5 linked regions of the Macaca fascicularis genome follow. The protein of the gene in region 3 interacts with the protein of the main gene of each other region in a pairwise test. Links are inferred from orthologs where the notes say so. Each region holds a gene or a part of one and is shown on either strand. Other genes may lie near its edges.

Region 1 (5,644 bases), on a different chromosome or scaffold from region 3:
GCATGACTTCGGAATAGTCAGACCTAATGGTGTATAAAGTTCTCCCAGCTCCTCTCCACCCACCTCCATCAATCCCACTCTCTCTCTAACCCCCAAGTTCTCTGTTCCTTCAGGTTCCCATAGAACATTTAGTAAACACTAGGGACATGAAAAAGCAGTGACATGGCCCTTGCCCCGGTGGCAATTAGACTAGGAAGGGAAAGTCGCAATTGCAAATTTGCCATGCTGACTAGGGCTGAGAGCAATCTGTGATGTCTGTAGTCGGACATCTGACTCACTTAAGGTAAAAACCAGTGAGTGAATTCTAAAGCAGGTAAAGCATTAACTGGTAGGACTGACTTCAGGAGAGGTAAGGGGGAGTTCTGAAAAGCAGTATGCACACAGGTGTGTGATCTCAGGATGCACGTGTCACCAGAGCTTGCAAGACCTTGTAGGAAATGTGGAGCAAGAGAGATGCATCAGATGTTTTTTGAATTGGACTCTGACCCCTTAACTAAAGATAAGGTTTCCGTGCTGAGGTGCGGTTTCTCCCCAACATGCCCTAGGCTTCAAGGGTAAAAGGTGCTGCAGGGAGTTAGGATGGCTGCTGTCCTAGTACAAGGTCTGCCTCACACAGGGAGAGCTTAGTCTCACGTTATCCTGCTGGGCAGGACAGCCCTGCACAGCCCCAACGTGGCAGAAAGCATCATACACGATGTGTCAGTTTGCCAGCAAGAAAAGCTGAATCCAACCCTCACCCCATTTGCTCAGCGGGTAATTTTTTGTGTTCCTGATGTTTTTGCAGAAGAAACCAGAAATTCTCTGTACTTGAGTTCCTTCAGGTGAACAGTTAGCCAGGAAACCAGTCCTCTTTGGAGGTTATTTTGGAGTCTCATCTTTTCCAGACATTTTATGATTAAAAAAAAAAAAAAAATTCTATATGGGTTTAAAAAAAAAAAAAAACTGGCTCTCACACAAATTGAAACTGCTCTCCAACATTTTGCCCGCTAATTTACCAATGTTTCACATTATATCCACACAAGACCCATGCGTTAACTATGCTTTTTCTTAATGACGTTGCTCGAATAAGCTATTACTAGTTTGCAGTAACTTCGTATAAAGCTTTCATTAGATTTCAAAAAAGGGAGAGCCAACTTTTCCCATATGTACAATCTGGAGAGAAATGACCCCTTCCCCACCCCACCCCCCACATAAAAGATAATAATCTCTGCTAACTAGTCAGTATTTCCTAAAGCAAATACTACAGATGATTCAAAAAATCCAGGCAAAGTCGAAGCAATATATTTTGCAACAATTATTCTTTCAATAAATGACTTGTAAATTCTCTCCCACACCATGTTAGACAGGTAAGCGACGTCACTTCCAAATTTCAACTGTTACATAGAAGATCCAGAATGTCAACACCACTTGCAATCTACACAAGGTTACAAACAACACATACACCTTCAATTCAAAATATCTGAATGAAAGGTTTCATCCCAATTATGGGAAAAAAACTTCCCATCTCACAGGCTGGTTAGAAACTGGTTCTGAATACAGCGTAACATACACAGCAATTCAGATCTTAAGAAACTCAACTGTTGCCAGTTAATACAGTAAGTAGAACTTTATTCAGCTTCACCCTTGTTTCATTTTTCCATATATGTAAGTGATCCTTTCTATACCTTTTAAGGTAAGTAATCACCTCAAGATAATCAGACATCTAAAGAAAACTTTGGTAAACTGGACTATAGTAATTGTATGAAAAAAAAATAGCTCTTAAGATTCCTAACTGCTACAATAGTGTTGATGGGATCAAATCCTAATTAGGATAGAGACCTAATTCATTTTTAAATGTGGGAAATATACAAGATTAAATGCTTAGTTTGATAAAAATAAAGGTTTCACCAACTGTTCTCCATTGCTGAGAAGCCCCCACACTGCCCCACTATGCGTATTCCTAGTATTTCATCCATGTCCTGCTCTGCTGTGCTGCCCTACAAAAAAATCCTTAGGAGGAAAAAAAAAAATAAACGGTGTAGTGTGTACTGCTTAAGAACTTAATGTCCAAGACATCTTTAAAGTCCGGGAGTACCTGAAAACCGTGGGTAAACATGGACCATTTTCCTTGCGTATCAACTTTACACTAAGCATCTAACATTCAAAAAGTGCAAAATTTGTACTTAACAGCAAGAATTCCCAAGCTCCTGCCATCCACTGATATTCCATCCTGTTTGAAGTTCTACATTAAAACATGATTACTTTTGCCATAAAACAAAAGTATTACCCTTAAAATATCTATTTCATATATACAAACCACATTATTTTTTATTCTGACAGGTCACAAATTTTGAGCAAGTTCTTCCCTAGGTGACCCTACCTAGCCAAAATGAAGGTGGAGCAAACATTGCTTTAGCTTAACTGCACTAATATTTACACCATGTGACCCTTCTAACCAAATAGAATACTGCTGATCTGCCATAATCAGTTTGTGCGACATGGCTCAAATGTACAAAAATAAAAAGTAGACATAGGGAGAAATTAACCCAATAGATTTCAAATTAAGCGATAATAGCAAGGCAATTCAAATATTAACATGGCATAAAATTTCCCTATTTTAGCGATTTCCAAATGCTATTTATAAACAAGGGATGAGTTCACTTGCTTAGATATTTGAAATACAACTTTATTCTGATTCTAAACGAAAAGGAATGGGAATGACAGTAACAAAACAAGATTTCACCACTGAATATTGTGATGTGACTGTAGCAGTCTTATATTTGAAACTCAAGGAATCAACTGCGTTCCAAAACAACTAAATATGCAGGTCCAAACAATGAAGGTATTTTTTAAACTGCCACATTCACTCCGAAGCCCACTCATCTCCTTCAGCATCCCACAGATGAAGCACATGTTCCGCTTAGCTAGATAATAATGAGGTGGCACACACGCTGCACCGCTGACATCACAGGACAGCTGCCTATAAAACTAGACTTCTGACGCTGGGCTCCAGCTCCATTCTCACAGGTCATCATCCTCATCCGGGAGAGCAGTTGTCTGAGCAACCTAGACGAAGAGATGAAAAAATGTTAACACTCCAGATCAAAACTGCCAGGAATATACAAGTCAAACGTTATAGCCTAGACAGCAAAGTGGCCGTAATACCTCTAAGTCGTGCTCATACTGCGCTGCCAAAGCTGGGTCCATGACAACTTCCGGTGGGGCAAGAGCAGGCATGGCAACAAATTCCAAGTTAGGGTCTCCAATGAGCTTCCTAGCGAGCCAGAGGAAGGGCTTTTCAAAGTTGTAGTTACTTTTGGCAGAAATGTCATAGTACTGTTTAAAAGAAAATAATTTTTACCTTTTAAAATTCATTAAGATGACGATTTTTCTAGGACATGGCAAGACAAGAAAATGTTAAGATTCTTGGCAAGGCATGGTGGCTCATGCCTGTAATCCCAGCACTTTGGGGGGGGGCTGAGGTGGGAGGATTGCCTGAGGCCAATAGTACAAGATCAGGCCTGGGCAACAGAGCAAGATCCCATTTCTACAAAAAAACAAATTAGGTGGGCATGGTCTTGAATGCCTGTGGTCCCAGCTACTCAGAAGGCTGAAGTGGGAGGACTGCTTGAGCCCAGGAGTTCAAGGCTGCAGTGAGCTATGTTCATGCCACTGCACTCCCGCCAGGGCAACAGGGCAAGACCCTGTCTCAAAAAACAAAGAATATATAAATACACACACGTATCTCAGTTGACCAACCCGGACAACAGTGAAACCCCATCTCTATCATTCTTTAAAAACAATAGTATAAAAAAAGACAAAATTATTTCCTGCCAGCACAGTGGCTCATGCCTGTAATCCCAGCACTTCAGGAGGCCGAGGCAAGTGGATCACTTAAGGTCAGGAGTTGGAGATCAGCCTGACCAACATGGTGAAACCCCGTCTCTACTAAAAAAAAAAAAAAAAAAAGTACAAAAATTAGCCAGGCGTGGTGGTACATGCCTTTAATCCAGCTACTAGGGGAGCTGAGACAGGAGAACTGCTTGAACCCGGGAGGCGGAGGTCGCAGTGAGCCCAGATTGCGTCACTGCACTCCAGCCTGGGGGACAGAGCGGGACTCCATCTTGGGAGAAAAAAAATCATTTCCATATATAATAGACACTGGTCAATTTCATGGTCTTACATACAATCTCCGCTAAGAGAAATAACTCAGGAAGTTTTAATTTTACACACCTGAAGATTCTTCTTTCGGTGGAAGACAATGGATTTCGCCTTCACTTTCCTGTCCTTAATGTCCACTTTGTTACCACACAACACAATGGGGATGTTTTCACACACTCGCACCAGATCTCTATGCCAGTTAGGCACGTTCTTGTAAGTAACTCTCGATGTTACGTCAAACATGATGATGGCACACTGGGCTGAAAGAAACAGTTGCGGTAATTAGTACACTCAGTTTACCACACAAGTGAAGAATGCTAAGAACCGCAGACTAGGATTCAACTATAGTCTTAGACCTCAACGAGGCACCTAGATCTCTCCCCTCACTTTCAAAGTCTCTTTCAATTCTAAGAACATTAACACAGAACTCTTCCTAAGAAAGATGAGCTGATTCTATCAAATCTCCCTGATAAACTTCACCATTAATACTCCCCTCATCCCCAAAACACTATCTGAAGTAATTAATGCCAAGTGAGATTCTGGAGAACCAAGCTGCCATATTCTGAGGGTAGGGCCTGGAAATAGTCTTCAGAAAGTCTTTAAATGGCCGACTATACTAGGAAATATCATTCCTGTCTTAAAAATTCCAAATAGGCCAAGCGATGTGGCTCATGCCTGTAATCCCAGCACTTTGAGAGGCTGAGGTGGGTGGATCACCTGAGCTCATGAGTTCCAGACCAGCATGGGCAACATGGTGAATCCCCATCCCTACAAAAAAAAATACAAAAATTAGTCAGGCATAGTGGCAGGTGCCTGTAGTCCCAGCTACTCAGGAGGCTGAGGCTTAGGAGGCGGAAGCTGCACTCCAGGTTGGGCAACAAAGCAAGACCCTGTCTCAAAAAAAAAAAAAAATTAAATAACCCAGATAAAGTCTATATACTCACCTGCAGGAATAACTATGGTACAGTTAGTAAGGCAAGAAACCACAACTTTTTGGTTAAAGGATTTTTTGGGGGGGAAATTCTTGTGTTTATATGTACATGTTCAAGGAGAGCAAAAGGCATGGAATGATTCCAGATAATGTGTTATTAGCAACGTGAGGTTCCAGGAGAGATGAGTATTTTGTTTATTCCTCTCTTTTTGGTACAATGAACATTTTCCTTGAGATTTTTAAATCAAACTATTTGAGAAAAATACTCTGCACAACTTACTACAAACAATTTAACAAGAAATTGGCTAGTCTTGTATAACACTTGTTAAGACCTCCTATCTCCTCTGGTCTAGTATCTGGTGTTGCTTTGTAATGGACTAGAAATATTCATTGATCGCCACACCAAACTACACACAAGAACCTAAGTTTTCAAATACTGAAACTGCTGTTAACAGCCTGTTATTGTTTTAAAGATGACTTATAAGTTCCAGTGTAAGTCATAGGTTTTTCTAAACCATGCCTAGCATGACACAGCATGCAACTTTCATAAAATTTTCTCCTCTGCCACCAAAA
Region 2 (6,053 bases), on a different chromosome or scaffold from region 3:
CGCTAGGAAGGTGCCTGGGGTTTTGAGGGACCTCGTGGAGTTCTGCAGCCAGGCAGGAAGCTAGCCTGTGCAGAGCAGAGCTGAGGTGGGAGATGTCACGTGGCCAGGTCATGGATAACAGTGTGCCTTAGACCTGATCTGTAGGGGCAACGGGCAAGGCCAGCATGAGGCATTCTGGCATGACCAGCACTTGAGATCACTTTGACCAAGGATTGGATAACAGGCTGGAGGCAAGTGAGAAATGATGAGGGTAGAACGTGGACAGTAGGGGAAGGGCTGAATACAGCAAGTGCATGTGTGGGGGCAAAACTGGTGGACTTAGGAAGGGGCGCATGTGTGAAGAGCACCTGCATAGAGCACAGCTGGGGTACTTGGGGGGGAGGGGTTCTGGGTGGGAAGGAGACTGCTGGGGAGGCCCTGCAACTCATTTCCGCCCTAGGACAACGGGAACAAGGTCGGGCTGTTGCATGAGTCTGTGCATCCCAGCGCAGGAAGCGCCAACATAGCCCATGGTGGTCAGCTGCCTCCCATAACCATTGTTTCCCTTGTATTTTTGGTTTACTAAGCAAGTGATAAGCCCGATCTTCAGTCGATTCGGAGCCTCTGGGGGCTTGCTTGTATTTATTCCTCCAACCCCTGTTACAGAATGCTCGGAAAACATTTGTGATTTGATGGCAGCTTTAATTGATATGAAAGAAAGAATAACTGGAATGCCTTTGCAAAGTTACATTCCACACAGTTCCCACCCTCAGGAAGCTCAGAGTGACACAGGAAGTTTGGGATGTGCAGTTTATTACAAGGCAGAAAGGGACTACTATCCGAAGATATTTTCAGAAAATGGTAGGCCAGGAATAGGAATATGAGAAATAAGTTTGAGCTTAGGGGCCCGGGTAGGTCTCCTGGAGAAGTGGGGCCATGGAGGAAATGCAGGATGCCCCGGACTCCCTGCACATTCCGGGAGTTGAATGGACCCACAAGGACAGGGCTGTGGGGGCCTGCGGTGAGGGCAAGGAGCTGTTCCTTGTTCCTGTCCATTCTCTGTGCTGAGTTTCAGGAGCTTCCATCCTTTTCTTTAGCCCATATCAAGCTGGCAAGAATGGCTGAGAGAGCAACTATCTGTGCCAAGCTCACTCAGCTCCAAGAAGCTCCCATGTATCCCTGGTGTCAGGGCACCTGGCCTCACCTAGCCTGAGCACTGGGAAACATGCTGGTCTGGCTCTGGGCCTCTGTCCCTGTTGAGCAGTGGAGTGGCCAGGGGCATGGCTCTGAGGTCAGAGGGGCCCAGGGGCAGATTGGCCAAGCTGCCGACCCCCTCTTCCTCTCCAGACCCTCCCCACACCAGATCCTTCTCCATATTAAAAAATATGTGTAGTCCTTCAGTATACTTCATGAGAGAAAACAACAACAAAAGAATTTTTTTAATAATGGTACCAGAGGCAGGAAGCTGGCCGTGGGAGCCCAGGGGAGAGCGCATAAGTAGATACAGCTACAGCCATAGCAGTCAGCTTGCACCCCTGGAGTGCAGTGGTTGAGATGGAAAAGTCGATTACCAGGCAGCACAGCTGTGTTTTAAAAGTTTCTCCTGAAAGCAGGGGCGTTGTTCACACTAATGCTCTCGGTCATCCGGCACCGGCCACCATGTTGCTGCAGCTGGAAATGGGGGCTTTGCCAGTGGTTCCTGGAGCGCAGGTCCGCATTCTTGTTAGACTCTTGCCTGAGTTCAGTATGATGTCATCCTGAGTGTGTTTGTTTCCTCGCAGTTTGAACAGGAAAATCAGCGACTCATTGGTGAAATGAACAGCTTGTTTGATGAAGTGAGGTATGTTTGTGGCTCCTCTGTGAGCTGAGAGCCTGCTTTACAACTTTCCAGGAACTAGGAACGTTATTTACCTTGGTGCCCAGGCATCCACATGGGGCCCCTGGGCTGGTGCAGCCCCCCTCAGCCATTTTGACAGGGCTGGGGTGGGCATGTGGCCTGAATCTACAACTCCCTCAGCCTGTGGGCCTGTGGGTTACCTCCCGCCTGCTGCCACTGCTGCGGGGGGCCCAGATGCTTTCTACCCCAAGAGATGCAGGAGTGACTGCAGATTACCTGCGTGTAATTTCCACCACCATTTGGGCTGTTTCCATGCAGCGACTCTGAAATGAAATGGGGCCCTCGTGAAGGACAGCTGACCAAGGGAAGCCCTCTTTTGCAAATGGCTCCACTGGGGTCTGCCTGCTCCTGTACCCCCCAGGGGGTCAGGAATGCAGAAGGCAAGGCCTTGGTCACCCACACGTGCACCCACTGAACTCTAGTTTCTGTGGGAAGGCCTGCAGCATGCTGAAAGTAAGGCCCGGGACTTTGCAGAGCCTGTTGTATTGTGGACATGTCCCCCAAATCAAATCAATCCTGATGCTGCACTCACACAGCCTGAGGATTTTCTCAGTGTAGGTGTCAGCCTCCCAGGGGCTCTTCGCCTTCTGCCCTCAGATGGACCTCCTAGTCCTCCTCCAACAGCCTACCTTTCACTGTCCGTCCCCGCTACTCCCCCATGCCCAGATACTCACTGGCTTTTCTTCCCCCATCTCCTCCCCTGCCCTCCTGCCACTGTGACACTGTTGGGATTCGTGTCTGCTTCCACCTGGCCAGGAGCTCAGCTCCCACCACTTTTCGCCTCCTGCCACTTCCTGTCGCTGCTTTGTGCTGGAACAGCAGTTAACTTCAGCCTGGGCCAGCTTCCGTTTGTAAATAGATGGGCCCCCACCTGTCCCCCAGGGTAGCCCAGGCTGCCCCTGACACCAGGAAGATGGCTAGCCCAAGTGTTTCCGATCCGACAGAACACTCCATTGCCAAACCAAGACATGGCATTTTCTAAATGAATCAGAGGAGCTTTTTTCTTGGAACAGGGAGTTGGTTTGAGGGTAAATACACTTTTTTCTTTAACCCGCTGAGCAGTAACAAAGCAGGATCATCAGCATATTCTGACCTTCTGAATCCCCACCATGTGTTACCATGGTGACAAGGCTAGGCAGAGAACTTACTGGAGACTGCTTTCTGTAACTGGGGCATAACCAGACCCTCCCCGGTCCTTGACCAGTGACACAGAATGCAAAGGGCACTGCCCACACCCACCTCTTGGGACTGGGGCTCAGTTGGCATGGTCGAGTGGACTTCCAAAAAGCCCAGCGTGCTAGGCTACACCGGGAGACAGGGAAGGTGACCCAGTAAGGAGAGTTTGCCTTCCTCTCCAATCTCTTCCCCCAGCCAACATGGTATGCTCCCCCGTCTCTCCCACCTTCATGTAGAAGACAGGATTTCTTTAGAAATGTGTAACAGTCCTGTTAGATTACCAAGTACTAATAGTTAATATGTAATCTATTCTTCTTTTTATGAAGGCAAATCGAAGGGAGAGTGGTTGAGATTTCCAGACTCCAAGAGATATTCACGGAAAAGGTTTTGCAACAGGTAAAAACAAAAACAAAAACAAAGTAGCTGTACGTTTTAACTTAAAGGGGAATGTACTTGAGAGACATTTTCCCAAAGGCTGCTGCTCTGCGCAGCCAGGAGCAGAGCCATGTGTTGCTAGCAGGTGTGCGTGCGCAGAGCTCCTCAGGGCAAAGCTCTCACTACCCAGAGCTGCCTCTGCACACGTGTGACGGAGGAGGAGCTCCCCACAGGGGATCCACTGGCCCCACTGACCACGCCGTGTGGTGGCGCATGCAGTGGCATGTGGGAGGAGAGTCCAGGCCTGGCAGTCAGGGTTCTGGATGTGCTGGGTGAGCTAGGTAGCCCGGCCAGGCAACAGTTTCCATCTATAGATTGGAGTGACCCCTGCAGGGTTGTTCTCCATTTGAGAGAGAACTACAGAACGATGCTGACGGGCAGTTGCTTTTCTGTCAGTAGAGTTACAGGAGCTCAGGCCCAGGCCTCTCACAGTGCGAGGTCCATGCCGCCTCAGGGATGGTGCCTGCATGGGAAATAGGATTGTTCTTTTCAAGTCAATTTTCTGAAATTCTTCCAGCCAATAACTGGCAAAACTTTTAGTGACCTAATAAATTTGCCCTTTTCTTTTTAGCACCCAAAGACAATGGGAACGTTTTGTCTTAGTATGTTAAACTACTTAACTTAAAATACTTCTCTCAAAATGACTTTCCATAAACCACACAGCCAGAGTGAAATCATTGTAAATGAGGTACATTAAGTCTAACAGCAGTTTGGAAGTTCGGGTTCATAGGAGTTGCTCTTTTGAATAACACTACCCTGCTTCAAACCTCCCAGCGGCTGCAGGGGGCCTGGAAGGGGTGTGCAGAGCACAGGCAGAGCCTTGCCTTGGCTCACCAGGAGTTTCTTTTTTTATTTTTTTTTATTTTTTTTGGAGACGGAGTCTCGCTGTGTCACCCAGGCTGGAGTGGTGTTGTGATCTTGGCTCACTGCAACCTCCTCCTGGGTTCAAGCGATTCTCCTGCCTCAGTCAGCCTCCCGAGTAGCTGGGATTACAGGCATGCCACCACGCCTGGCTAATTTTGGTATGTTTAGTAGAGACGGGGTTTCACCATCTTGGCCAGGCTGATCCCGAACTCCTGACTTCAGGTGATCCACCCGTCTCGGCCTCCCAAAGTGCTGGGATTACAGGCATGAGCCACCAGGCCCGGCCCACCAGGAGTTTCTAAGTCCTGAGGAACGATATGTGTTTCTTGTTTTTTTCATCAGTGTTACATTGTAGTTCATATTGATTCTCTCATTGGAACCTTGGCAGTGGTCACTTAGCTCACACTTCGAGATTCTCTAAAATGGGGTGATGACAGGGCAAAGCCATCTCGGTAATATTCATTGCTGGGAATAGAGGCCAGAGGCTGCCTTCCTCCCTAAAATGTGTCAGGTTTCTCTAAAAACCCACACTAGCATTCATTCCACCCGACCGTGTTAGGAAGCAGCTTCACCACCGCCAAAAGGAGGAGAGAAGCAGGCACTCCTGCTCATAAGGCCGTCTAGCACCGTTGCTGCTCCTGCGGGGCCAGACGCCCCCTTGTTAGACCAGGATCCCACACTCCTCAAGCTTTCCGAGGCTTTGTTTGGAGTAAACGTTTTATGTAAGCATTCTGCATCCTATTCTGATTTTAAAATTTAGCCTGTTTTTTTAAAGATATAATTGTAAAACACAAAGCACTGTTTTTGAAGCTAGCATATGTATTTCGAAACACATATATGTTAAAGCTTACTTCTGTGGACTTCAGAAAGAAATGAGAGACTAGAAGGGAAACCTCTGGCATATGGTGGCTGCTCCACAAACAGTAGCTCTTAGGTTTTTGTCCCTGTCATCAGCAAGTGGCACAGGAGGGATGGTAGGTGCAGTGGAAGGAGCACTGCAACAAGATGGGGTCTCAGCCCTGCACGGTGACTCACGCCTGTAATCCCAGCACTTTGGGAGACCAAGGCGGGAGCATGGCATGAGCTCAAGAGTTCAAGACCAGCCTGGGCAACATAGGGAGACCCCCATCTCTACAAGAAAGTTTTAAGATTTAGCTAGGTGTGGTGGCGCATGCCCATACTCCCAGCTACTTGGGAGGCTGAAGTGGGAGGATCATTTAAGCCCTGTCTCAAAAAAAAAAAAAAGTCTCATCTCAGTCCTGCCACTTGGTTGCTATGTGACATGACTTTGGTCAAGTTAGTAAACTTCTCTGAGCCGTGAGTTTCCCTTTCAGAAAATAGGGGTAATACCTACTTCTTGGGGTGCTGTGAGGGTTTGTGGCTGTGCAAGTAAAGCCGTTTGCCCTTGCTGACGGCTGCTGTTCTTGTCATGATATATGCTTCGGGGAGGAGGAAGTTGCTGTATAGGTCAAGCATCCCTAAACTTAAAATCCAAAACGTGAAATCCTAAGTGCTCCAAAATCTGAAAGTTTCTGAGTGCCGACACGACACTCAAAGGAAACGCTTGTTGGAAACTCTCTGAGTGCCGACATGATACTCAAGGGAAATGCTCGAGGGAGCATTTTGGATTTCAGGTTTTTGGATAAAGGATACTCAACTTGTATTTATCTTTTCTTCCACAGGAAGCTGAGATTGATAGCAT
Region 3 (5,811 bases):
TTTACTGAGCTGAGACTGAGTGCCAGGCATGGAGAATACAATATGTCAGGCAAGATTCCTGCCCCAAGAATAATGATAATTAAAATAGCAAGCATTTATTGCACACTGATTATCTTCTAGGCACTGCATTAAGCCTTTTCTTTTTTTTTTTTGAGACCAAGTCTCACTCTGTCATTCAGGCTGGAGTGCAGTGGCACGATGTCGGCTCACCGCTACCTCTGCCTCCTGGGTTCAAGCGATTCTCCTGCCTCAGCCTCCTGAGTAGCTGGGATTACAGGCGCCCGCCACCACGCCTAGCTAATTTTTGTACTTTTAGTAGAGACAGAGTTTCACCATCTTGGCTAGGCTGCTCTCAAACTCCTGATCTCATGATCCACCCACCTCGGCCTCCCAAAGTGCTGGGATTACAGGTGTGAGCCACCGTGCCCGACCCTGGCCTTCTTTTCTTTTTCTTTTTGGAGTGCAGTGGCACGATCATAGCTCACTGCAGCCTCGAACTCCTGGCCTCAAGTGATCCTTCCACCTCACCCTCTCAAACAGTGGGTTTGCAGGTGTGCCTCACCTTACCCAGCCTAGGTGCCATTAACTCCATTGTCTAGATGAGTAAACAAACGTGGAGGCTAGGCTTGTCTAAGGGCACACAGCTAACTAGGGGGTAGAACCAAGCTTTAGACCCGGGAAGCCCTGTTCCAGAGCTTACTCCTTTAACCATTAACTAAACTAAACCAGTGGGGACAAATAATGGAGAAGTAAACAATAAAAAAGATACTGGCCGGGTGGCTCACGCCTGTAATTCCAGCACTTTGGGAGGCCAAGGCGGGCGGATCACCTGAGGTCAGGAGTTCGAGACCAGCCTGGGCAACATGGTGAAAGCCCGTCTCTACTGAAAATATAAAAATTAGCCAGGCGTGGTGGCACATGCCTGTAATTCCAGCTACTTGGGAGGTTGAGGCAGGAGAATCACTTGAACCCCTGGAGGTGGAGGTTGCAGTGAGCCGAGATCACACCACTGCACTCCAGCCTGGCGACAGAGCGAGACTCCGTCTCAAAAAAAAAAAAAGAAAAAAGAAAAACCAACCAAACAAAAAAAGACGGAGTCTTGCTCTATTGCCCAAGCTGGCCTTGAATTCCCAGTTTCAAGCAATCTTCCCAGCTTACCCTCCCAGAGCCCTGGAATTACAGGCATGAGCGACCACACTAGGCCAATCTTTGCTTAATTTAATATTATTTTCCTCTTTCTCTGATCACCTGGTCTGTTATTATTGCCCCAACCTTGTTTTCATTAAAGTATCCTGTCTTCACTTTCATTTCCTGGATGTTAAGCAACTCATACATCATCTAAATCTGGGAAAACAAAGGCTAAATTCAATTCCAGCTCAGGCAAGGGAGAAACACAAGCAGAAGTTCAGCTTTTTGTGTTTTTGTTTTTGTTTTCAGACACAGTCTCTTTCTGTCGCTGAGGCTGGAGTATAGCAGCTCGATCTTGGCTCACTGCAACCTCTGCCTCCCAGGTTCAAGCTATTCTCCTGCCTCAGCCTCCTGAGTGGCTGGGACTACCGGCACTTGCCACCACACCCGGCTAATTTTTTTATTTTTAGTAGAGATGTGATTTCGCCATGTTGGCCAGGCTGGTCTTGAACCCCTAACTTCAGGTGATCCACCTGCCTTGTGGATCTCCCAAAGTGCTGGGACTACAGGCGTGAGCCACTGCGCTTGACCTCATTATGTCTTCTGCCTCAGTATAATCCATATTTTGAAATACATATTTTGAAATACATAATATTTTATAATAATTTGTTTTTGAGACAGGGTCTCTCTCTGTCACCAGGCACTGTGGCAAGTTTCTTGCAAACATTATCTCATTTGATCCTCTCCCCAACTCTAGGAAGAAGATACAATTATTATCATCCTTGTTTTACAGAATTGGAAACCAAGGCACAGAGAGGTAAAGGGACCCACCTAAGGTCACACGGAAAGTGGTGGGTCAGGGGATTGAACCGAGGGCATCTGGCTCCAGACCCTGAACTCTCCAACCCTCTGCCGCCCTCCTCCTAGGTGAGGGAGATTACATTACTGGGGACCCTGTTTCAGGATATGAAGGGGTTTTCCAAGATGTTTCTCATAGAAAAAAAAAAAGGGTGTGGCTAATGCCCATAATCCCAGCACTTTGGGAGGCTGAGGCAGGCAGATCACTTGAGATCACAAGTTCGACACCAGCCTGGCCAACATGGTGAAACCCCATCTCTACTAAAAATACAAAAATTACCCAGGCGTGGTGGCAGGTGCCTATAATCCCAGCTACTGGGGAGGCTGAGCCAGGAGAATTGCTTAAACCCAGGAGGAGGAGATTGCAGTGAGCCGAGATCATACCACTGCACTCCAGACAGGCGACAGAGACTCCATCTCAAAAAAAAAAAAAAAAAGAAGAAAACAAGATGTTGAGTGTGACTGGGTGGAAGCCGCTGACTTGTCCCTGGCACAAGTGTGCTGATATCCCCTCCCCCTCCTTCCTCACATCCTGCATCTCAGCGAGAATTGGCGTGCTGGGGTTAGCTGTGTGGCCATCACCCCAGGCCCAGGTGAAGCCCTCGATCAGGTGAGGCCATGATCCCAAGGAGTGTTTAAGCTCAGATCCTGCCTCTTCCCTGCTTTCTGCCGAGAAGCGGGACCTCCTCTGTGGAAAATATCCAGCTGGGCGAGCCTGGGAGGCAGGAGGTGAGTGGGGCCGGACTCAGGGACCAACTCTTCCCGTCTCATGACTGTGTTTACTGGGCTGGATTTTGAGAAGGGGCCAGATTGCATCAGACAGGGCCTAATGGGCTGGAGCCAGACTGTGGTCTGAGGAGGAGACACAGCCTTATAAGCTGAGGGAGTGGACTGGGAGTGGAGAGGCACGGGGCCAGGAAAGCAGAGAAAGACAAAGCGTTAGGAGAAGAAGACAGGCAGGGAGGACAAGCCAGGCACGATGGCCACCTTCCCACCAGCAACCAGCGCCCCCCAGCAGCCCCGAGGCCCAGAGGACGAGGACCCCAGCCTGGATGAATCTGACCTCTACAGCCTGGCCCATTCCTACCTGGGTAAGGCCCACTCGGCCATCTCCACGGTCCTTCCTCCTCTCCCGAAATCAGGACCCCTCCATAGACTTCGCACCCTCTCCTTTCCTCTCCTCTCCTTTCCTTTCCTCTTCGTTTCTTTCTTTCTTTCTTTTTTTTTTTTTTTTTTGAGAGAGTCACTCTGTCACCCAGGCTGGAGTGCAGCTGTGTGATCACAACTCACCGCAGCCCCAAACTCCTGGGCTCGAGTGATCCTCCTGCTTCAGTCTCCCGAGTAGCTGGAACTTCAGGTGTGCACCACCTGTAGTGGTGAGGTGGGGTCTCACTATGTTGCCCAGGCTGATGTCAAATTCCTGGGCTCAAGCAGTTCTCCTGTCTTGGCCTCCTAAAGCACTGAGATTACAGGAGTGAGCCACCCTGCCCAGCCCACTCACCGTTTTCTAGCCAACGTGTTCCTTGGACCCTCACGTCACCCCTGTCTAGTCCCTTATCCCAAGAGTGCTGTGTTACTCAGCCTGGGATCTCACACACATCTGGGGTCCCACATTCCACAGAGGGGAAGCAGCAGAATTCCCCCTGCTCTTCCCATCCCCGCAACTCCAACCCCCTGCCTCTCCTCTGACAGGGCGTCTCATCGTGCCTTTGCCCACTTCACCTCTGCCTCCTGCCTTGGTTACAGGAGGTGGAGGCCGGAAAGGTCGCACCAAGAGAGAAGCTGCTGCCAACACCAACCGCCCCAGCCCTGGCGGGCACGAGAGGAAACTGGTGACCAAGCTGCAGAATTCAGAGAGGAAGAAGCGAGGGGCACGACGCTGAGACAGAGCTGGAGGTAAGGAGTCGGGGGGCCCAGAGAGCTCAAGGTGGCGCCTCTGCCATGAAGGACAGCCGGAAGGTGCGCGGTTGGGTGGGGAGGAGGGATCAGACAACTGTTATCTCAATGCAGAATAAAATGAGACACACGTTTGGCTGTTTTCTAGCGGCCAGAGCAAAGGGGAACACAGAACCTTTCCAATTGGAGGGAAATTTGACTTACAGAGACAGAAACTGAGGCTGGAGAGGGTGGGTCCTTCCCTGTAGTCACAAATCAATTAAGTGGGAGAGGCAGAATTAGAACCCAGATCTCTGTCCCTTTCATCACCTGCTTTTCCTCGCCCCCTAGATGAGGCCGGACCATGGACACTACACCCAGCAATGGAGACAGGACTGCGGAGGAAGGAAGAACCAAGACAGGATCCAGGCCAGCTTGCCACACCCCCCACCCCTGGGACTTATCCCCGCTGACTGAGTCTCTGAGGGGCTACCAGGAAAGCACCTCCAACCCCAGCAAAAGTGCAAGATGGGGAGTGAGAGGAAGGGAATGGAGAGGCAGAGCCAGGAAGATACCCCCAGAAAAGAAAGCTACAGAAGAAGCTGGGGCTCCTCTAGGGCAGCAGCACCAATAAATAGACGCGCACGGCAGCCACAGCTTGGGTGTGTTTTCATCCTTGCTCTTTCTGTGTTTTTGTTCGGGCACGTATGTGCCTGCCTGTGCCTGCACATGCATGAGCCCGGGAGAGCATCTTTGGTGTGTATTAGTGTTTGGTATATGTATCTGGGGCAGGGAGTATTCCTGCTCTTACAGGGGTCTACGCTGTGAATATGGCTTTTGGTTCGTTTGTTTTTGCTTGCATATATTTTAGTGCATACATTTTTCTGTGGGCTCCTACATAGTGGAAAACAATTTCTTCTGCTTTTTTGCGATACTGCCCATGAAACACGGCCCTCCCCAGCGCCTGTTTTTGTTGATTATGTCCTGTTCATAGACGGGAATGCTACTTATGGATGCCATCTAAAAGATGGAGAAAACTGAGATTTAAAATATTAAAGGCCAGGGCCAGGCGCAGTGGCTCATGCCTGTAATCTCAACACTTTGGGAGGCTGAGGCAGGCGGATCACAAGGTCAGGAGTTTGAGAATAGCCTGACCAACATGGTGAAACCCCGTCTCTCTAAAAATACCAAAAATTAGCCAAGCATGGTGGTGCACGCCTGTAATCCCAGTTACTCAGGAGGCTGAGGCAGTAGAATCACTTGAACCTGGGAGGTGGAAGTTGCAGTGAGCCGAGATCATGCCATTGCACCCCAGCCTGGGTGACAGAAGGATATTCTGTCTCAAAAAAAAAAAAAAAAAAAACTAAAGTCCGGGAGCAGTGGCTCATGCCTGAAATCACAGCACTTTAGGAGGCTGAGGTGGGAGGATCACCTGAGCCTAGGAGTTCGAGACCAGCCTGAGCATCATAGCAAGACCTCATCTCTACACATTTTTTTGTTGTTTTTTTTTTTTTTTTTTTTTTTTGATTCAGAGTCTCACTCTGTCGCTTAGGCTGGAGTGTAGTGGCATGATCTCGGCTCACTGCAACCTCCGCCTCCTGGGTTCAAGCCACTCTCCTGCCTCAGCCTCCTGAGTAGCTGGGACTACAGGCACCTGCCATCACGCCTGGCTAATTTTTGTATTTTTAGTAGAAACGGGGTTTCACCATGTTGGCCAGGATAGTTTCAATCTCCTGATCTCGTGATCTACCCGCCTCGGCCTCCCAAGGTGCTGGGATTACGGGTGTGAGCCACCACGCCCAGCCAATTTTTGTATTTTTAGTAGAGATGGGGTTTCACCATGTTGGCCAGGCTGGTCTCGAACTCCTGACCTCCAATGATCTGCCCACCTCAGCCTCCCAGCCTTTGGGGGGCCAAGGAGGGAGGACTGCTTGAGGCCAGGAGTTCAAG
Region 4 (6,581 bases), about 50 Mb from region 3:
CTTTCAGATAGTCTTTCCTTTATGCAAACACAATCTTGGTGTCTGTGTCCAAATTTCCTCTTCTTATGAAGACATCAGTCAGACTGGATTAGGGCTCACCCTAAGGGTCTTGTTTTTGGTTTTTGTTTTGTTTTGTTTTTGAGACGGAGTCTCGCTCTGTCGCCCAGGCTGGAGTGCAGTGGCGCGATCTCCGCTCACTGCAAGCCCCGCCGCCTCCCGGGTTATCGCCATTCTCCTGCCTCAGCCACCCTAGAAGCTGGGACTACAGGCGCCCGCCATCACGCCTGGCTAATTTTTTTGTATTTTCAGTAGACACGGGGTTTCACCGTGTTCGCCAGGATGGTCTCGATCTCCTGACCTCGTGATCCGTCCGCCTAGGCCTCCCAAAGTGCTGGGATTACAGGCGTGAGCCACCGCGCCCAGCCAGGGTCTTGTTTTAATCACCTCTTTAAAGGTTCTGTCTCCAAATACACTCACATTCTGAGGCACTGGGAGTTGGAACTTCAACATATGAATTTTGGGGGATGCAATGAGGCTTGTGATTAACCTCTACTGTTTCCACTTGTTAAACTTTATAACACCAGGGACTTTGTCTTGTTCATATTTCAGGACCTTTACCGTTGCTGCTGTCTTCGGAGCACACTACCTCCAACTCTTCATACAACAGGTTTTTCTCAACTTTCAAGCCTTAGCACCACCATCTGACAAGGGCCATTCCAGACCACCTTGTCTAAAGTAACCCTAAACGTTACTCTAGGGGTCACAACACTGTTTCCTCTATTTCACGGCAGTCACCACTTACTTATGTCCAGAATATCAGCTTCAGGAAAGATGAGGATAGGTGTTTTTACACGCTATTATACCCCGGCATCTCACACACAGTCACAAGTGAATAAGATTCTGTAGCCACTTAGTACATTACAATGATTTTATTTACTCCTGGGAAAACCTCAAGGGCTTTTAACATCCAAATCGGTGTTTGAATTTCAGCTCTAACATGGATTAGCTGTGTGAATTCCACCAAGTCCCTTACCCGCTCTGTGTCTCAGAATCCCTAACAACACGATGACAATACCTTCTTTCCGGTTCTTATGGAGATTAAGCGAACTAATTACCCATAAGGTGACCAGGTCAAGAATCTGACATAGAATCTATGCTATCAGCTGAAATGCTATTAGCTTGAGGGTGTTCCAAAGCGTCGGACCTGGGAATGATTTTTGAAAACGTGTTTAGTTGGTACCCAGAGCATTAAACACCAGGGTATGAATGCCACTCTATTTTCAGTGGTTTTTAAAATTCTTTTTTGTTTTGTTTTTGAAACAAAGGCTTGCTCTATAGCCCAAGGTGGTGTCCAGTGGTGGGATCTCAGCTCACTGCAGCCTCGACCTCCCGGGTTCCAGTGATTTTCCAGCCTCAGCCTCCCAAGTAATGGAGACCACAGGTCCGTGCCACCACACCCACCTATTTTTTTTTTTTTTTTTTTTGGTAGAGATAGGGTCTCACTATGTTGCCCAGGCTGGTCTTTTCAATTCTTTAGATCAAAACCAAGCCTTCTTCTCATTCAGGTGTCTTTGGCACCCATGCCTGCCTCCATCCCTTGCAGTTTCTTCAGATTCTTCTGTTTAGCAGGGATCACTCGGCCAGACACGCACCGGCAGCAGCCCGGGGATGAAGCCAGCCCGCCTGGGGTGGCCCCCGCCACGCTCCCCGGGACTCAGGGCTGCTGTAAGGAAAGCAGCAACTCGTAGGGTCCTGGTGAAGAGCAAACGACCTGGCCCCTGCACAGGGACCCAGAACACAGGAAGCCCGCCATCCACGTTAGGAAAACAATACACGTGGGTAACCAGACCCAGGCGGGTGGCACGCGTGACGCAAACCTGTGAGGCTGGCGAGGACTACTGAGTCTGAAGGGAGTCTCTGAGGAAGGGAGTCCCTGAGCGAGGATGGGTCCCCGAGGGGGCCAGGCCGACGTCCCGGGAAGGCGGCCCCCGGCTCGGGGAAGCCAGGCTCTGGATCCTCCTCTGACTTTGGCCTTTTTGGGATCTGCCGCGCTCATCCCCGCGCCACCGCGCCGCGCGCTTACCCCAGCCTCTCAGTCACCAGAGCGCCCGCTGAGTGGCCGCGCCGGCGCGCGACACGCAGCGGCGGGGCCGCGGGGCGGAGCGGGGCGGCGCGCTTTACGAGAGCGACGCAGCTGCGAACGCGGCTCCGCGCATGTGCAGTGAGGCTCGCGGCCGGAGTGCGGCGCTGGGCGGAAGCCACCATGGCGGCCGAGCGGAAGACAAAGTTGTCCAAGAATCTGCTGCGCATGAAGGTGCGGGGACACTGAGAGAGCCATGCCGGGCGGTAGGGGCACCCGATCGTTCCGACCTGGCCAGGGCCGAGGCGGCGGGCGAACGAGGGACACCAGAGGGGCCTCAGAGGGCTTCCAGCTCTCGTGCTCATTCATTCACTTAGCGCCTGGTCTGCACTGTTTACTGGGAACCGGGTTACGAATTAGGCCGACTCTCAGGAGGCCCACGGGTGGATGGGAGCTCGCATACACAGGAGCAAGCAGTCAGGGTACAGCTTACCAAGTGCAGTGAGGGTAGAAGCGCCGGAGCCCTGGGAACTCACCCAGCTTCTCGCGGGGTAGTGGTCCCTTTAGGTTCCTGGGAGGGTGGGAGGCACAGCGTCCTAAACTAGGAGAAACCTGAGTTCAGAAGTCCACGAGGCAAGAAAGAAAAAGAAAACCATGGAGATTTCCAAGAATGAGAGGTAATTCAGTATGTCTGGAAGGCAAGTACTAAGAAATGGGGTTGCAGAGTAGGCAGTGGTCACAACGTGCAGGAAATTTGAGGCCAGATTAAGGATATTTTCCTTTATTTTGTGAGCAATGGAAAGCTATTGACACGGGGAACAGTATAAAAAAATAGCAACTATTTATAGTACTAGACAATGTTTTAAGGGGTTTGCGTATATTAACCTGTGCAATTCACATAATGACACTTTGAGGTGACTACAGGCAATAACTCTCTTTTTACAGTTAAGGCAACTGAAACAGAAATAAGTAACTTACTCAAAGTCGCACAGCTAATAAGTAGTGTAGACAGGACGGGAACTCAGGCAGTCTTGCTCCAGAACCCTGGCTCTGTGTTACTTACTCTGTGATGCCTGTCACTGAGCACTACTTATAGAGGGTAGCAAACTGTTACATGTCATGTTTAAAGAGGTCGAATTTCCAAAAGAAGGAAGGAAGCGTTCATAATGTTTTGAAAGATTGGAGAGAGAGGCCATTCGCAGTGGTTCATGCCTGTAATCTCAGCACTTTGAGAGGCTGAGGTAGACAAATCGCTTAAGCCCAGGTGTTTTAAGACCAGCCTGGGCAACATGGTGAAACCTCATCTCTACAAAAGATACAAAATATTCGTTGGGCCTTGTGGCACGCACCTGTAGTCCCAGCTATTTGGGAGGCTGAAGTGGGAGGATCACTTGAGCCTGGGAGATCGAGGCTGCAGAGAGCTGAGATGGTGCCACTGCACTCCAGCCTGGGTGACAGAGGGAGACCCTGTCTCAAAAAAAAAAGAGAGTAAACATTACATGGGCAAGATTTGAATGGAGTTGAGCTAGGATGGAATTAGGAATGAATGGGTGAATGAGGATGCAGGACAAATTACATCTAACTTAGAGTTTGTCAAGCACTTTCATGCATATTAGGAAAATTTGAATCTTTACTGAACAGAGTTTGCTTTTGATTTTATGATTTGTAATAACATTAATTTCAGAGAAGTGGAGTGAACTGACCAAGCAGATATTGAAAAGATTTTAGCAGTTGTTTTAGCTCTTGGAATAAGCCAGATGATGTACTGGGTGACTCAGGCTCAAACTAAATATCTGAGTTGCAACTAAGAAGGAAGAAATTAACTTAAAACAAGTGTCCACTCCCACCAAATGGGGAGACGCAACTGGACATTGGAAGCAAAGGAGAAGGAAAAAGATCACCCAGATTCTGTATTTGGTTTAGCAGTTTTGGTCATTGATGAGAAAAAACTTACTGGCAAGATAGCAGGAGACACTATCTATACTGATAGAAAAGAGTATACTGTGAGAAGGCATGGAACAGCTGCACTTAGGGTGCCTTAACCAGAGCTAAGTCCTATATAACATGGGTCCCCAACCACTAGGCCACGGAGCAGCACCAGTCCATGACCTGTTAGGAACGGGCTGCTCAACAGGAGGCGAGCAGCAGGCAGCAAGCGAGTGAAGCTTCATCTATATTTACAGCTGCTCCCCATAGCTTGCATTACCACCTGAGCTCCGCCTCCTGCCAGATCAGTGGCAGAATCCTAGATTCTCCTAGGATCAAAAACCCTACCGTGAACTGCACCTATGAAGGATCTACCTTGAGCTCTACTTATGAGAATCTAATACCTGATGATCTGTCGTTGTCTCCCATCACACACAGATGAGACTGTCTAGTTTCAGGAAAACAAGCTCAGGGCTTCCACTGATTCTACATTATGGTGAGTTGTATAATTATTTCGTTACATATTATAATAATAGAAACAAAGTGCGCAATAAATGTAATGCACTTGAATCATCCCTAAACCATCTACCCCTCCCCTCTCCACCACCCATGGAAAAATTGTCTTCCAGGAAACCCATCCCTGGGGACCACTTTTTAGGGCAAGTATGAGAGGGTTGAGGATTTAATCCTGACTCACTTGAAGGCCTCTGACTTGGTCAGCCATTGCAGGATGATCCCGATGGGAAGCAGAAAAAGAAAGATGTGGATGGAAGGTCTTCCAGTATGGAATGGTTGTAGAAAGGGTGCTTATTTGTGATTTTAGTACTGTTAGACTTTTAGAACAGGGCTTGGCAAGCTTTCTGTAAAAGACCATATAATAAATATTTTGGGCTTATGAGCCAGACAGTCTCTGTTACAACTACTCAGCTCTGCCAGTGTTGTTTGGGACAGGATGACCATGGCTGTATCAACAACAACGGACATCTAGCCTGAGGACCATATTGTGCTGTTGCCTGCTGTGAGTCCCCACTGGTTTTGGAGTGTGTTCTGAAATGCCCTAGAGTAGGAGAATCGAACTTCTACCTAAGTCTGGAGGTGCTTGATTCATATTCACAGGGAGTTCTATCCTTTCTGTGTGTACAGAACATATGTATATGGCTATTTTGTATACCAAAGGAATAGGTACATGACTAAATAGGAGAAATAAGGGCAGTTGGGTGGTATTGATGAGTTTTACCACGAGGCATATTAGTGATGAAATGAGGTATATGCACTTAAAAAAAACCATCCCAGAAAGAGAGTCTGGAAAAATAAGACAAGTCTAGGTTCATTTACATTCAGAGAACCTTCATTGAGTGAGCTCTTGTGTACCAAGGGTGCCGCCTAAGTACCAATGATACAAGATGAACAAGAGTCATGGTCTATTCAGAATCATAGTCTTGGGAGACACCAAAGCAGCATGATGGTGAACAATAATCCAGTGTTTATCAGGCTGTCTTGGGAAGGTGCTTCTTTATAGGAGCAGGCCTGGGAAGAGCCAAGCCAAATGCCAGCCAGGGAAGTCTTACCAAAGGACACATGCTGTGGGCCTAAAAGAGTAAATATTTTGCCAGACAGAAAATGGAAACATGTTGTTAAGTCGCAAAGGCAAAAGGACCGGGAAATATAGTGTGCACGTTCCAGAAACTACAGTTCTTTCCTGGGATGAGGATATAGGCACAGGTAAAATGGATGAGGACTGCAAAACACTAGTCTGCAAACTTGTTTTCTTTTACTTTTTATTTAAAATAGTGATAGATTCACAGGAAGTTGCAAAAAGTATACAGGGATATCCCGTGCATCCTTCATGCCACCTCCCCCAGCGGCAACATTTTATAACACTAGAATACAATAAAGAGCCAGGACATTGACAGCGAGCTTACTCAGATTTCACCATTTTACATGCGCTCACTTTGCGTGGACAGTTGCTGGGTCATATGGTAAGTGTATGTTTAGTTTGCTAAGAAACTGCCACGCTGTTTTCCACAGTGGCTGTACCATTTACTTTCCTACCAACAATGTTTGAGTGCAGTTTCTTCACACTATCATCAGTGCTTGATGTTATCACAGTCATGTGGTACTTAACAACAGGGATACATTCTGAAACATGCATTGTTAGGTGATTACATCATTGTGAGAGCATCATAGAGTTCACCTACACAAACCTGGATGGGGTAGCCTACCACACACCTAGGCTGTATGGTACAGCCTGATGTTCGTAGGCTACAAACCTGTACGGCATGCTACTGTACTAAATACTGTAGGCAGTTGTAACAGTGGTATCTGTGTATCTAAACATATCTAGATATACAAAAGTTACAGTAAAAGTGCAGTATTGTAATCTTATGGGACCACCATCATATATGGGTTCCATCATTGACCAAACATCATTTTGCAGCACATGACTATTTTATTCATGAACATTCTTAAGGTTTTTTTCATTTAACTTAGTAGTCATTGTTAAAGCCCTTACGCCTAAAGAGGCTTATGTTTGGAAGAGCTGGAATAGAAGGAGAAGAAATATGGGACCTGGGCC
Region 5 (6,053 bases), on a different chromosome or scaffold from region 3:
GATTTGTTGTTTATAACTTGCTAATACTTGAGAGAGGAGAAGATGATATTTCTCCAAGGTTACTTTTTACTTCAGACAGACACCTCAAAAAGAACCCTTTTAATACCTCATTTGTACCGCATTTCTTCAATTTGATTTGATTGTAATGGCTCTTAAGTTAGGTCAAGCTTAAAGGGGCCATTTTACAGTGAACAAAGTGAGAATGAGTCCAGAAAAGCCTGCGTGTGAGGGTGGGGGTGCTTTTAACTCCAGATAAGTTACTTGAATTTGCTGTAGAACATGAATGATGGACTGTGTGGTTGGGGAGCTGGCACAAGGATGAAGGAAAATTCTCACCTTTGGGGAAGAAGAGTGTTATGGCAGGGCCATTTCTCTGGTTATCTGGCAAGAAGATCAGATTAGAATGCCTAATAGCGAAACTCTAAACTTAACGAAGGGTAAACGAAAGAGCTGGTGGTAGAGGCAGTCAGCATGGAAGAGGAAGGGACCAGACAGGTAGTTTAGAGATGGTCTGTGAAACAACCTATGCAACTGTGAAGTGTTTGATTTATTCAACAAGCAGTTATTGAACCCCTGTTCATATGCCAAATATTCTTCTAGGTGATGGGGACACAAAGATGTCTTAGAGTGGTTAGGAAGATATTCTGGGAAAAAGAACGAAGTAACAATTTAAAAAAACTCAGAGCAGCTCAGTCATGCCTTAGGAGAGTGTGCAGCGTGCTTGGAGTTGCTTAACGAGATGGTACAAGGATTCAGCCGTGTTTTACTTCCACCCTGCTCTCTGCTGGTGTCCATCTCCATGTTCACTTTTACAGCCTCCACCTTTCAGTTCAACGAAACTTTTGGCTACCCTCAAACACACTGTACTGTCCATTTAAAGAATTTTGGTTTTTATTGCCAATTAGCCTGGAAGTTTTATTCTTTTGAATTAATATCACATGTTGAAATTTGCCAGAATGAAAATAAAGATTTGGCCAGGCGTGGTGGCTCACGCCTGGGAGGCCACAGCAGGAGGATTGCTTGAACCCAGGAGTTCGAGGCCAGGCTGGGCAACATAGTGAAACCCTGTCTCTATTTTTTAAATTTTATTTTAAAACATATTTTAGGTGCCTGTAGTCCAGCTACTCAGGAGGCTGAGGCAGGAGAATCTCTTGAACCCAAGAGGCAGAGGTTGCAGTGAGCCAAGATCGCACCACTGTACTCCAGCCTGGGCCACAGAGCGAGACTCTGTCTCAAAAAATTAATAATATTTTTTAAAATACAGTAAAGATTTATGACAACTTAGAATGGGGCTCTGTTTGTTATAGGGTTGCAGCTGTCGGCTCACGATGCCAGAAGTTTTACCTCTCGTTTTCCTTTGCAGACACACAAACTCGGGCCACTTCTAAGAGTCTGTTACCTGTTAGGTCCAAAGAAGTCGATGTTTCCAAACAGCTTCATTCAGGAGGTCCAGAGAATGATGTTACAAAAATCACCAAACTGAGACGAGAGAATGGGTGAGAACGCATCATTAGTATCCAGTTAGAACATCTTCCTAGAAATTGATCAATACAAAGAATTAGAAAACAGGATTTTGGGGAATACAAGGCTCCTGAACAACTGGCCTTCAGTCAGTGGCCCAGAGCTATGCAGCATTCCTGAGCTCTTTGCCAGAACCCTCTGGGTTGATCTTTCTGAAGAGACACAGCCAGGGCTATGAGAGGTGTTCTTTCCTCTTTCATCGCTTGCTCTGAGGATACAAATGGCAGCACTGTAGTCATACGCCAACCCTGAGGGGTAGTCATGTGGGGTGGGGACTAGTTGTTACCCTAGGTTGCTGGTCTGACCACAGTCCAGCCCTAGCGTAGTGTGTGTGTGTGTCCCCAGCCAGCATTCAGTTCCCAGGTGAGTGAGGTTGACATGAGATAGCCACGCCATCTTGAGAGGAGCAGCTCTGTCAGGATGTTGGGGTGGTCGGGGTCATGCCCCGGTGCTACTAATAAGCCTTTTCAATAGTCTGTGCTGAAACAATAATGCATAGTCCCTCAGAGCTCTCAAGCTTGTGCCATTTGCCTTGTATGTCATCCCTGGTTCTTTCCTCAGAAACTCAAGTTCTTTGTTCTGCCTGTTCACTGCACACTTAACAGTACTATGAGTCTCTGATTCATTTCTTTGTTTCTGCCCTCCTAGGCAAATGAAAGCTACTGATACCACCACCAGAAGGAATGTCAGAAAAGGGTGAGCATCAGGGTAAATCAACTTGGCCACTGTTCTAGGGTAGTGGATCTCAATCCTTGTTTCTGCATCAGAATCACTCGTGGGACTTGTTTACTGTGTTAGGGTCTGGGTTCCACCTCAGGAACCTGCGTGGAATTTTCAGGGGTGAGGCACAGCTAGGTGTAAGAACCATTGTCAGTGCAAGAATCAGTGGTGCTACTATCTTGAGTCTCAAGCAAGAGCTTTTTGGACTCTACGCCAGGACCACTGTTGATCAGAAATCACACTTAGCTATGGCCCATCAACAGGAGGGTGAAGCCTTCAGGAGAGGAAGGGCTGCCTGTAGTTAGTGATCTCGAGATGAAGATTCTGGTGGTGGTGAAATCCGGGAGAGAAGGTTCATCTCTCATCTTTGAGGCTAGCTTCGAAGTTTTGCACTATCAGAAATAGAAATAATACGCTGAAAAGTCTGTACAAATAGGTTTTAGTTCCAGATCTATTATTTGGGCTTATCCTAAGAGTTTTGAAGATAGCAGGGCACAGTGGCTCATGCCTATAATCTCAACACTTTGGGAGGCCAAGGCTGGTGGATAACCTGAGGTTAGGAGTTCGAGTCCAGCCTGGGAAACATGATGAGACCCCATCTCTACTAAAAATACAAAAATTAGCCGGGCGTGGTGGCGCATGTCTATAATCCCAGCTACTCAGGAGGCTGAGGCGGGAGAATCACTTCATTCCCAGAGACAGAGGTTGCAGTGAGCCAAGATCACATCATTGCACTCCAGCCTAGGAGACAGAGCGAGACTCTGACTTAAAAAAATAAAAAAGTTTTGAAGACAAAATACTAGCAATAAAGACTGAGGCCAGGCGCGGTGGCTCAAGCCTTAATCCCAGCACTTTGGGAGGCCAGGACGGGCGGATCACGAGGTCAGGAGATTGAGACCATCCTGGCTAACACGGTGAAACCCCGTCTCTACTAAAAAGTACAAAAAACTAGCCGGGCGAGGTGGCGGGCGCCTGTAGTCCCAGCTACTCCGGAGGCTGAGGCAGGAGAATGGCGGAAACCCAGGAGGCGGAGCTTGCAGTGAGCTGAGATCTGGCCACTGCACTCCAGCCTGGGCGACAGTGGGAGACTCCATCTCAAAAAAACAAAACAAAACAAAAAAGACTGAGAACGTTAAGAAAAAACTCTAGGCCCGGCGCAGTGGCTGACGCCTGTAACCCCAGCACTTTGGGAGGCTGAAGCGGGCAGATCACAAGGTCAGGAGATCGAGACCATCCTGGCTAACATAGTGAAACCCCGTCTCTACTAAAAATACAAAAAATTAGCCGAGTGTGGTGACAGGTGCCTGTAGTCCCAGCTACTTGGGAGGCTGAGGTAGGAGAATGGCGTCAACCCGGGAGGCGGAGTTTGCAGTGAGCCCAGATAGCGCCACTGCACTCCAGCCTGGGCGACAGAGCGAGACTCCATCTCAAAAAAAAAAAAAAAAGAAAAAAGAAAAAACTCTAATATTGGTGATATTAGAGTTTATTAGATGATAAACATTATATTATTTTATTACATATCAGCCCAGCTACTGGGCTAAGAAATGCACATGGGTTTTCTCTCTTATTAATAATAATACTATGAGATGTAGGTATTGTCCTAATTGCCAAAATGAGGAAACAGGGCTTCAGGGAGCTTATGCAACTCACTGAAGGTCATAACCACTATGTAAATAGCCAGGATAGGAACAGGACGTGTTTGTGTAACTCTGTAGGCCATTTTTTTTTTTTTTTTTTTTTTTGAGACGGAGTTTTGCTCTTGTTGCCCAGGCTGGAGTGCAATGGTGCAATCTCAGCTCACACAGCCTCCACCTCCTAGGTTCAAGCGATTCTCTTGCCTCAACCTCCCAAATAACTGGGATTACAGGCATGCGCCACCACGCCCAGCTAATTTTTGTATTTGTAGTAGAGACAGGGTTTCTCCATGTTGGTCAGGCTGGTCTTGAACTCTTGACCTCAGGTGATCTGCCCACCTCAGCCTCCCAAAGTGCTGGGATTACAGGCGTGAGCTACTGCGCCTGGTGTAGGCCATGCTCTTAACCCTTTTGTCTTTTCATGTAAGTACAACTGTTATTACAGCTACAAACCACTGAGTAAGCAAAAATCAGAGGACGAGCTCAAGGACAAGAACCAGCTCTTAGAAGCCGTCAACAAGCAGTTGCACCAGAAGTTGACTGAAACTCAGGTAAGAGACCCACCAGAGCTCTGTTACCAGCTGCCACTGGGCAATGCACATGGAATCCTGATGGATGGCCCCTTGGGTGAGCAAGCTTGTTAATGCACAAATGCCCAAGGGCAGAAAAAAAAAAACAAAACAGGCTTTTGCTATGGCTGTCCAAGAGCAAGGGCAAGAAAGGGCGACCACCCCTAGGGATTGGGACAGTTCCTGATCTGTCTGTGCGGTGCTCCAACAGGGAGAGCTGAAGGACCTGACCCAAAAGGTAGAGCTGCTGGAGAAGTTTCGGGACAACTGTTTGGCAATTTTGGAGAGCAAGGGCCTTGATCCAGGTAAGAGATAGCACACAGCTAGCTGTCTTTGAAGGGATCAGTGCATGTGTCCCTTCCTGGGTTGATCTTGGCAGCATGGCATCAGCTGGCCCAGTAAGTGCAGGGGTTACTTCAGTAAAGCCCTAAAGATTTTGGAGGGCTTCTGTTTGTTTTCATGTGATGTTGATTTTTGCCTGGCCAATAGAATTTCAGAGGATTATATAGAGAGAAGGTTATCTCTTTCTTACCTGAACACTTTATGCCAACAGGTATGACCTTGCAAGTAGATGAGAAATATTTTGTTCCTTTCAAGGGAGAATATTTTCTGTCTCTTCCCATTTGGGAAAGTTACTAGTGTGCTTGAAAGGAACATTTTGTTTGAACATGTTCTTCCTCGCAAGCATACTAGTAACTTCTCAAATGGGAAGAGACAGAAAATACTACTTCAAGCATTCTTAAACCTGGCTAATCAGTAGAATTACAGTGACTAAAAAATGACTACTGTTACCCTGTCCCCCAGAGAGCAGAATCTGTAGCAAAGAGAGCAGTAGAAAGAATTGTCCAAAGACTGTAAGAGGGCCTCAGCCTGAGTCAAAGAGCTAGAGAATGCCCAGGAAATGGGCCCAGGCCTTTTTGTATTAAGGAATACTGACTTTGAATGTTACTGGTTAATCTTTAGGTTACAGGTGAGGATATTCTTTTTTTTTTTTGAGATGGAGTCTCACTCCGTTGCCCAGGCTGGAGTGCAGTGGCGTGATCTCAGCTCACTGAAACCTCCTCCTCCTGAGTTCAAGTGATTCTTGTGCCTTAGCCTCGTGAGTAACTGGGATTACAGGCATGTACCACTATACACAACTAATTTTTGTATTTTTAGTAGAGACAGGGTTTCGCCATGTTGGCCAGGCTGTTCTCAAACTCCTGACCTCAAGTGATCTGCCTGCCTCAGCCTCCCAGAGTACTGGGATTACAGACATGAGTCACCATGCCCGACCTGGGATATTCTTTATAGTCACTGTAAAATACATATTTTTAAATTTAAAATTTTTTTTTTGAGATGGGATCTCGCTATGTTGCCCAGGCTGGCCTCCAACTCCTGGGCTCAAGCAATCCTGAGTAGCTGGGACTACAGGTATGCGTCACCACAACTGACACCATAAATATTTTGTATGATTTTAATTTATTACATGCATGTGATATTACCAAAAGTAATAATTTTTAAGGCCTGAAAGGCTCTTAAATTGTGAACAAAACCAAAAAATCCAACCTATACATTTCCTTTGGACAAATTGTCCACTGACCTAAGGAGAAAGTATACAGAATTTTTG

What was found.
Region 1: the proteins of NUPR1 (region 3) and RAN interact in a two-hybrid assay, tested with the Homo sapiens proteins (2 studies listed by BioGRID and IntAct). The link is inferred for Macaca fascicularis from reciprocal best matches to the Homo sapiens genes NUPR1 and RAN.
Region 2: the proteins of NUPR1 (region 3) and STX18 interact in a two-hybrid assay, tested with the Homo sapiens proteins (2 studies listed by BioGRID and IntAct). The link is inferred for Macaca fascicularis from reciprocal best matches to the Homo sapiens genes NUPR1 and STX18.
Region 4: the proteins of NUPR1 (region 3) and MPHOSPH6 interact in a two-hybrid assay, tested with the Homo sapiens proteins (2 studies listed by BioGRID and IntAct). The link is inferred for Macaca fascicularis from reciprocal best matches to the Homo sapiens genes NUPR1 and MPHOSPH6.
Region 5: the proteins of NUPR1 (region 3) and KNSTRN interact in a two-hybrid assay, tested with the Homo sapiens proteins (2 studies listed by BioGRID and IntAct). The link is inferred for Macaca fascicularis from reciprocal best matches to the Homo sapiens genes NUPR1 and KNSTRN.

The regions. Positions count from the first base shown.
Region 1 is NC_088385.1:137,991,623-137,997,266, reverse strand, and holds the end of RAN (GTP-binding nuclear protein Ran), read right to left. Parts: intron 4,401-5,644; coding exon 4,213-4,400; intron 3,316-4,212; coding exon 3,145-3,315; intron 3,046-3,144; coding exon 3,001-3,045; 3' UTR 1,260-3,000; downstream 1-1,259. UniProt on the Homo sapiens protein: GTPase involved in nucleocytoplasmic transport, participating both to the import and the export from the nucleus of proteins and RNAs. Switches between a cytoplasmic GDP- and a nuclear GTP-bound state by nucleotide exchange and GTP hydrolysis.
Region 2 is NC_088379.1:8,632,237-8,638,289, forward strand, and holds part of STX18 (syntaxin-18), read left to right. Parts: intron 1-1,760; coding exon 1,761-1,819; intron 1,820-3,378; coding exon 3,379-3,448; intron 3,449-6,033; coding exon 6,034-6,053. UniProt on the Homo sapiens protein: Syntaxin that may be involved in targeting and fusion of Golgi-derived retrograde transport vesicles with the ER.
Region 3 is NC_088394.1:27,792,981-27,798,791, reverse strand, and holds NUPR1 (nuclear protein 1), read left to right. Parts: upstream 1-2,885; 5' UTR 2,886-2,965; coding exon 2,966-3,077; intron 3,078-3,678; coding exon 3,679-3,869; 3' UTR 3,870-3,882; intron 3,883-4,212; 3' UTR 4,213-4,517; downstream 4,518-5,811. UniProt on the Homo sapiens protein: Transcription regulator that converts stress signals into a program of gene expression that empowers cells with resistance to the stress induced by a change in their microenvironment.
Region 4 is NC_088394.1:78,049,439-78,056,019, reverse strand, and holds the start of MPHOSPH6 (M-phase phosphoprotein 6), read left to right. Parts: upstream 1-2,212; 5' UTR 2,213-2,214; coding exon 2,215-2,346; intron 2,347-2,635; exon of another isoform or gene 2,636-2,757; intron 2,758-4,444; exon of another isoform or gene 4,445-4,499; coding exon of another isoform or gene 4,500-4,502; intron 4,503-6,581. UniProt on the Homo sapiens protein: RNA-binding protein that associates with the RNA exosome complex. Involved in the 3'-processing of the 7S pre-RNA to the mature 5.8S rRNA and play a role in recruiting the RNA exosome complex to pre-rRNA; this function may include C1D.
Region 5 is NC_088381.1:16,881,942-16,887,994, forward strand, and holds part of KNSTRN (small kinetochore-associated protein), read left to right. Parts: intron 1-1,363; coding exon 1,364-1,496; intron 1,497-2,169; coding exon 2,170-2,217; intron 2,218-4,320; coding exon 4,321-4,426; intron 4,427-4,655; coding exon 4,656-4,749; intron 4,750-5,441; coding exon of another isoform or gene 5,442-5,485; exon of another isoform or gene 5,486-5,556; intron 5,557-6,053. UniProt on the Homo sapiens protein: Essential component of the mitotic spindle required for faithful chromosome segregation and progression into anaphase.